Solanum lycopersicum: one gene and its partner. Each later gene encodes a partner of the first gene's protein in a complex. Links are inferred from orthologs where the notes say so. Each region holds a gene or a part of one and is shown on either strand. Other genes may lie near its edges.

The links.
Region 2: THO complex subunit 2 (region 1) and THO complex subunit 3 share a complex: the UniProt entries of both Arabidopsis thaliana proteins name them as parts of the THO complex. The link is inferred for Solanum lycopersicum from reciprocal best matches to the Arabidopsis thaliana genes THO2 and TEX1.

The regions. Positions count from the first base shown.
Region 1 is NC_090804.1:20,333,499-20,337,014, reverse strand, and holds part of THO complex subunit 2, read left to right. Parts: intron 1-1,912; coding exon 1,913-3,073; intron 3,074-3,516. UniProt on the Arabidopsis thaliana protein: Acts as a component of the THO subcomplex of the TREX complex which is thought to couple mRNA transcription, processing and nuclear export.
Region 2 is NC_090806.1:70,055,552-70,059,592, reverse strand, and holds the start of THO complex subunit 3, read left to right. Parts: upstream 1-1,226; 5' UTR 1,227-1,343; coding exon 1,344-1,406; intron 1,407-1,547; coding exon 1,548-1,643; intron 1,644-3,797; coding exon 3,798-3,927; intron 3,928-4,041. UniProt on the Arabidopsis thaliana protein: Acts as a component of the THO subcomplex of the TREX complex which is thought to couple mRNA transcription, processing and nuclear export. Contributes to the integrity of the endogenous trans-acting small interfering RNA (ta-siRNA) pathway.

The DNA.
Region 1 (3,516 bases):
TAAAATTAATGCACAAAAAGGATAAATAAAATTACTAAATATGTGGCAAATAATGATTAAAAATATACATTTTTGGCCTTACATCAGTTACTGAAACTCTCCCTTAAAAACTTTAAGTTCTTCGCATTAGGCATGCGATATGATGCCATGACACTGCATTGGACTCGATTTCGTCATTCCATTTTGATACTTTAACCACTTAACACTTGAATATAGTTTCCATCTTGCACCATGCACATATGTTAACATGTCCCAATGGTCCCATCCACCACGCGTGGGTCCAAACATACATCGGGGTTATTTTAATCAGGTTATTCGGTTCATTATTGACCCGAATCAACCTTTACCATGGGTTTACATATAAGTTGTTTTCAATATCATGTCAAGATTTTGGCCGCTTGATATTTCAAATGGGTAAAATGTGGGTTTCTACCTATATTTAACCCGTAATTGTATGGGTGAAAATGGGCTTGCCATGTATGGGTTTAATTCGTAAGTTGCAGACACGACATATGTGTTCCATACAACCTATTTCAGTTATCCCTCAACTTGCTGCACTTCAACACTTCTAAATCGTCATTGAAGATGCTTGCTTCAACAGTTCAACCTGTTTGATCCTCTCAATCTCATCATAGTGATTCTCTGCATCTAGTGGGACCAAACTTCTTTTTGTTGTTTTTGAGGGGGATTAAATTTTTTTGAAACAAATGTATAACTTATATCGGTGTTGTCAAAAAGCGGTTCATGCAAAAAAGGTCATAGATCCTTTGGGGATTTAATTGCAAATTAATTGTGGGCTTAATTGAAAAAAATACAAATTGAAGAAAACTACGACTATGTATATGTAGTCCGAGATTAATAATCGTAAGCATGGATAATAAATATATGGACAATGAAATTTTGAAAAATATAACAATAATGTGAAATACCAGTTGTTTAGTGTCACATCTTTAGGATTGCACTCATTAGCAAGGAAAATTATGCCCCGGAGCTTTGATGACGACACTGAAGTGCCCATAAAGCGTGTGTGTGACTAAGCGCTCGACATGTTCTATGCTTGTAGCTTAAGAGCGCCTTTGAGAACACTGACATATACATAATGTGTAGTAGTCTAGTAGATGGCTTAGTAAAGTCATTGAATAAGAAGCACGTGTTCTACTTGTGAGGAGACAATGGTGGCTCAATTATTCCTAAATTATCTAGTAATTTTTTTACTATGCTCCATTATTTTATTAATACTGTATATGCTTGATTTTTGTTAAAAAAAAATAATCACCTTTACTTTATAAATAAGATATATTAATTATCCTATAGATTAGACCACAACAACAATATACCATGTATAATCCCACCAGTGGACTATGAAGAGGGTAGAATGCACATAGACCTTTGGAGGTAGATAGGTTGTTTCCGGTAGACCGTCAGCATAGATAAGTCCATAATGTTAATTAGAAACAGAAAGTATCATAATATTTAAGAAGTACAAAAAAGAGCATAGATTGATAATTCAGGTAGTTAAATAGGTATTTGGACAGTGGAAAATCTAAAATATCTGGTTGAGTGTGCTATCAACATAGTTAAGTGACCTTTTGAGTTTTGAGTCATAGACTCATTAATTAATTCATATTTTCTTAGTTTTTTTAGCAGGAACTTTTAAGCAGAAAATGAATTTTAATAATGTTTGAGATTTTTTGAAAAAATGAAGATACAAAGAAATGGGTTAGACTCTTTTTTTACCCAACTCAACCCGCCTATTGCCACCCCTAATTGTTAGTGTGTAATATGTATTATGAAGCTTTGCTTTCCTTTTCGATGAATCTTTCTGCAGATGATGGATCCTTCCATTATTTAGTTGAGCAGTTCTCTTTTGTTAACTTGTTTGAACTTAAAAAATATTCACCCTTTACTGTAGGGAAGAGGCACAGGCAAGCGATCTACTCCGGTTGGATCTCTGTCAAAGCAACAAAAACATGATATTGCAAAAGATGAAAAATCTGGGAAAACTGTTGGAAGAGCATCTGGAGCTGCTTCTGGTGATGTTAGTTATCCTTCTGAGAGCAGAGCAAGTGGGAGTGTTAATGTTTCTACTACAGTTTCAGGGAACGGTAGCATGTTTTCTGCTGCACCTAAAGGTGCAGCTCCATTGACGAGATTGTTAGATCCTTCAAACGAATCTAATGCTGAACATACAACTACTAAATCTGCTGATCTGAGGGTTTCTGCTGGAAAAGATGATGTCACTGAAAGTTCTGATGTGCATAAGGAGTCCACATTGCGTCTGGTTCATTCGCCTAGACAAGATGCTTCTAAAGCTAATGAAAAAGTACAGAAGAGATCTATTCCCGCAGAAGAGCTTGATAGACTGAACAAACGCCGGAAAGGTGAAATTGACGGTAGAGATACTGAATGTGCTGATGCTCGTTCATCGGAGAAAGAATGGTTAATAGATGCACGAGCTGCAGATAAACTTCATCCAGCAGATTATGATAAACATGGATCTGATGATCAAATATTGAACCGAGCCTCTGAAAAGCCTCTTGATAGATCAAAAGAAAAGGGTGGTGAAAGACCTGAGAGAGACCCCAGAGAGCGAGGGGACCGTCCTGATAGGTCTCGCGGTGATGATGCATTTGAAAAATCAAGAGATAGATCAACGGAGCGGCATGGAAGAGAACGTTCAATTGAGAGAGTACATGAGAGAGTTGCTGATAGGAACTTTGATAGGTTGAGTAAGGATGAAAGGATCAAAGATGATAGGAGCAAGCTGCGACATAATGAAGCATCTGTAGAAAAATCTCTTACAGATGATCGGTTTCATAATCAAAATTTGCCTCCACCTCCACCACTGCCTCCTCATCTGGTCCCGCAATCCATTAGTGCAGGCAGGAGAGAGGACGATTCTGATAGACGTTTTGGAACTGCCAGACATAGTCAAAGACTTTCTCCAAGGCATGATGAGAGAGAGAGACGGCGATCAGAAGAGAATAACGCATTGTTGCAGGATGATTTGAAGAGAAGGAGAGAAGATGATTTTCGAGATAGAAAGCGGGAAGAGAGAGAACTTTCAATTAAGGTAAGCCTGATTCACATTTCATGCATAATTGTTCAAGATAGAGTAGACAGTGAAATTGTTGATGTTATTACGTCATGCCCACAATTATTATTGAACTTTAGGAAAGTCACTGGAACTGAATATATACTATTATGATAGTTTAGAATTCCATCATCCTTGAGACTGATAGGTATACACATTTTCTGTCTGTATAAAAATAGATATTCTACTCACTCGTTGCATGTTATTCTTAATTCTGACATTCTAAATTTGGGAGTTCCATTTGAAGTTATTCCCATTTGCTCATACTTTTTTGAAAAAAAATCTTTGATCGTTATTCAAAGTGTGTTTTGGCTATATATCTGAGATCTAAATTTAATGTTTCTAAGCAAGCATCAAAATGGAAGTGAAGCCTCGTGAAAGAAACAACATGTTGTATTGTCAGTCTGTCTCCTTTCAAGGGG
Region 2 (4,041 bases), on another chromosome or scaffold:
TTTAACTGTAATTTCTTTGAATTCTGTCAAAAGAGACTATAGCTCAGCTAAAACTTTAAGATTAACACTAATGAATTTTTTTAAAATTATTTTATAATTATAATATTTGAATAAACTGATGAATATTTTCGATTAATTGCATGAAGTATTTAATTTTTTCAATTATATGTCCTTTGAAACATATCATGAATAATTGTGTTAAATTATTCGCTATCAAAATATCATACTAGTTTTATATTATTACTCAAATATAATCTAAAAAACCCACTTTTAATTCATTACAAATTAAATATACTTAATCAAATATCACAATGACTAAAATTATGAATAATTGAGGGAATAAAAGTAGAATTATCTCTAATAGTACTCTTAAATGGATGAGATTGGACTTTCTCCACGTATTTAGGAAGTTGATTGAACCTTTTTATTTTAATATTTCTTATATTCTTTAAATTGCTTTTTTGAATAGATGGGCAAGCTACTTATTTTATTTTATATCTAATCCCCAATCACATCAATTAATCTCCAGAAAAAGTGGGAAATAAGAAGTATTATTTGTTCAAACTTTTGAATTAAATTTAAAATTATTGAAAATGTTGTCTTGCTCAAAAGTCATAATTGTACAGTTTTGACAATTATTTGATAGGTACTAATATTTTGTTATATGTATTTTTCAATTAATAGACCAAATAAATAAATAATATAAAAGATATCATTTTGATGAACACTTTGACTTATGCTTGTGAAAAAATAAAATATTGTTAAAAAAGTAAATATATGCCAGTACACACAAACATGTACAATAAATATTTCTACGATTAATTCCTTCACAATTATTAGATGAAAAAAATATCAAAGATTAATTTCCACCATTTATATTATTATTTCTATAAAATATATGAATTGTTTCTTTATAACAAAAGAATTATAATTACGGTAAATCAATGGATCTTAAATGTTATACACCAAAATAATTTATTAAAGTTGAACACTTCTAGCTCTTGATCATTGTTATAACACAAAATATGTAACTCGTTTAAATTTAAACCTTGAAATTCCCGTTTAGATGATTTTTTTTTTCTGTTTAAAAGAGGGCTCACCTATTTCTCATGAGGCAGTTTCAACAAAAATAACTACTAGCGACCATGTGTTAATTACCAAAAATGCTCAATTTCGACAGTATAAAGGACTATTTTAGACCATTCTCAAACTTAAAGGACTAGTCTATCATTTTCTAAACAGGGTTGGCATGAAACGACAATATTGTGTGTCGTTTTGTTCGTCTTCTACACAAGCAAAAAAAATATTCAGAGAAGTAAACGGAGCAAACAAGCAGAAGAGTAATGGCGGAAACAATACCCTTCAAAAATCTTCATAGCAGAGAGTACCAGGGACACAAGAAGAAGGTTTCTCTCTCTAAAACTATTCCTTCACTTCATTGTTAACAATACAACCCTAATTTTGCTTTTCCTTTTTATGAACTCTCTGATTAGATGAATTGACTATGTGATACTTTATCTTCTCTGTTTTTTTAAAAAAAATTAAAGGTGCATTCGGTGGCATGGAACTGCAGTGGCACGAAATTAGCTTCAGGTTCTGTGGATCAAACAGCTCGTATTTGGCAAATTGAGCCTCATGGTCATGTAAGCTTCATGAGCTCATCTTTTTTGTTTTCAGTTAAGTTTTAATGCTGAAAAAAGGATAGCTTTTTGTTATTGCTCTGATTTTTAAATGTTCTACTGAAGTGGTGGGAAACTGGGTGTTGTAAATAAACTGAAAAAAGGATAGCTTTTTATGATATATGCATGAACTTAGGCACCTGAGATTTTCTCTAGAGTTAAGAAGCTGGTCTCTCACTTTAGTTGTTTCTGCCAAAGTCTAGTTCTATGTGGTATGAGTTAAGGAACCTATGATAGTAATGCCTGTTGCAGTTAGGTTTAAATTTTGTTGTTACTTATCAAAGGTGGGGTAAAGTAAGCGTAACCTCACTTGTGGGAGGTCATACGAATTCGATGTTATAGATACACAGAGAGGTTTGAATTGGGAGAATGGGTAAAAAGATGCAGAAATGCTCCAGAGTTGTACAGGATGGTAAAATATCGCATGTCCCAGCTCAACGCACTTGGTGTGGAGTTATAGAAAAGCTGGAAAGGTAGCAAAGGAACATTTGGGATGCGGCGGATGGGACAAAGAAGTTTCACCTAGTGGGACGGGAGACCGTGACATCTCCTAAACAGTGGTGAGGACTTGGGGTTAAAGACTTGAAGGTTTTTAACAAAGTCCTCTTGGATAAATGGCTTTGGAGATTCGAGATGGAGGAAGAAGCTTTATGGGAGGGGTGATAGCGGACAAATATGGAGTTATGGAAGGAAGATGGAGAACAAATGTGGTTACCTTCCGAGTTTGGCATGTAGAAGAATATAATGAAGGGGTGGGAAGCCTTTAACAAAAACATTTTCTTTTAAGTTTGGGGTTGGGAGGAGACTAGTTTTTGGGGGTCAAAAGTGGTGCAGTGATTTGGTTAAAGAATGATTTCTTGGTGTTGTATAGCATTTCTGGGCAAAGGGAGCTGTCTGTTCAGCAAATTAGGGGGTGGGACCTTCTGGGATTTCCGAAATTGGGAGATGACCGATCTTCAAAGCTTTCTAGTTTTATACCATAAGCAATGCAAACCAGTAGATAGACCTGATGCTTTGAGTTGGGAGTTGGTGAATAAAAAAGTGTTCTCTATTAAGTCCTATAAAAGCTTCCTGTTAGGGTGGAAGTTAGTTTTCTGTATGACTCGGTATGGACACCTAAGGTGCTGAAGAAGGTGTATTTCTTCTTGTGGTTAGCTACTAAAGGGGTGATATTGACGGTGAAGAATCTTAGGGAATGAAAGGTGGTGGGCATAAGTTGTTGTTTCTTGTGTCAAGAGGCAGGAGAGGACATGATCAATATTTTGCTACATTGCAAAACATCTCGAGGTTATGGTAGGATATCTTTAGATGGTTTGATATTTCTTGGGCAATCCCAAATGTCTGTTGAAGTGTTGATGTTCAGTTGGAAGAGTGGAGTTAGGATAAGAAGACACAAGGTGTGAATGTTACTCCTCTTGCAGTAATGTGGGTCATTTGGAAAGAGAGAAATAGGAGAGCTATTGAAAGGGTGGAGAATTGGAGATTAGCTTTGCTCAATTGAGGAGTAGTCTCCGATCCCTTATTTTCTTTTGGTGTAATTTTTGTTTGTATAGAGGATTGAGGTGTCTTTTGGAGAACCATGTTTGGTAGGTTTCTCCTTTTGTGGTATACTCCTTTTATATGACCAAGATAGCCTTGTTATTATCAATTAAATCTTTTACTTGGTCATAGACCAGATAAATTTTTACTTTGTTAGTAGATCGAGTGCTCCATAACTCTATATCATTTGTCATTTCTCTTTATCAAGGCTATAAACATACTTTTATCTTGTTTCATAGTCGCAAAAATCCCAAGTTCCTCAACTTTGGAATTTGCATGAAGATTGAATGATATTTTGCTTCTGTTGCTCTGTATCAATACTATAAATGTACTTTTATCTTGTTTCATAGTCACAGATCCCAAGTTCCTCAACTTTGGAACTTGCATGAAGATTGTAGTATATTTTGCCTTTGCTTGCAAAAACCTGAACAATTAATAGCTTGCCACCATAAAACTACACTAAAATGATTGCGCCCTATCTATGTTTTCAATATTCTAGTCTTTTCTCATTCTTGAGAGGTGGAGTATAGAACCTCTTATGTCTGCATACACTCCAAGTCTCTGATAGCTCTTTTGCAGGGAAAGGTAAAAGATGTTGAATTAAAGGGTCACACCGACAGTGTGGACCAGTTATGTTGGGATCCAAAACATGCAGAATTGATAGCTACAGCATCTGGTGACAAGACAGTTCGATTATGGGATGCCCGTAGTAAGTTTATATTATTTTGCACCAGCAATAAGCTGCCAAAGTACTGTATGAAATAATGAGTTGGAATTTAAAGAATGTAATGCTATAAGAGCCTATGTCTATTGGTTACTTGAG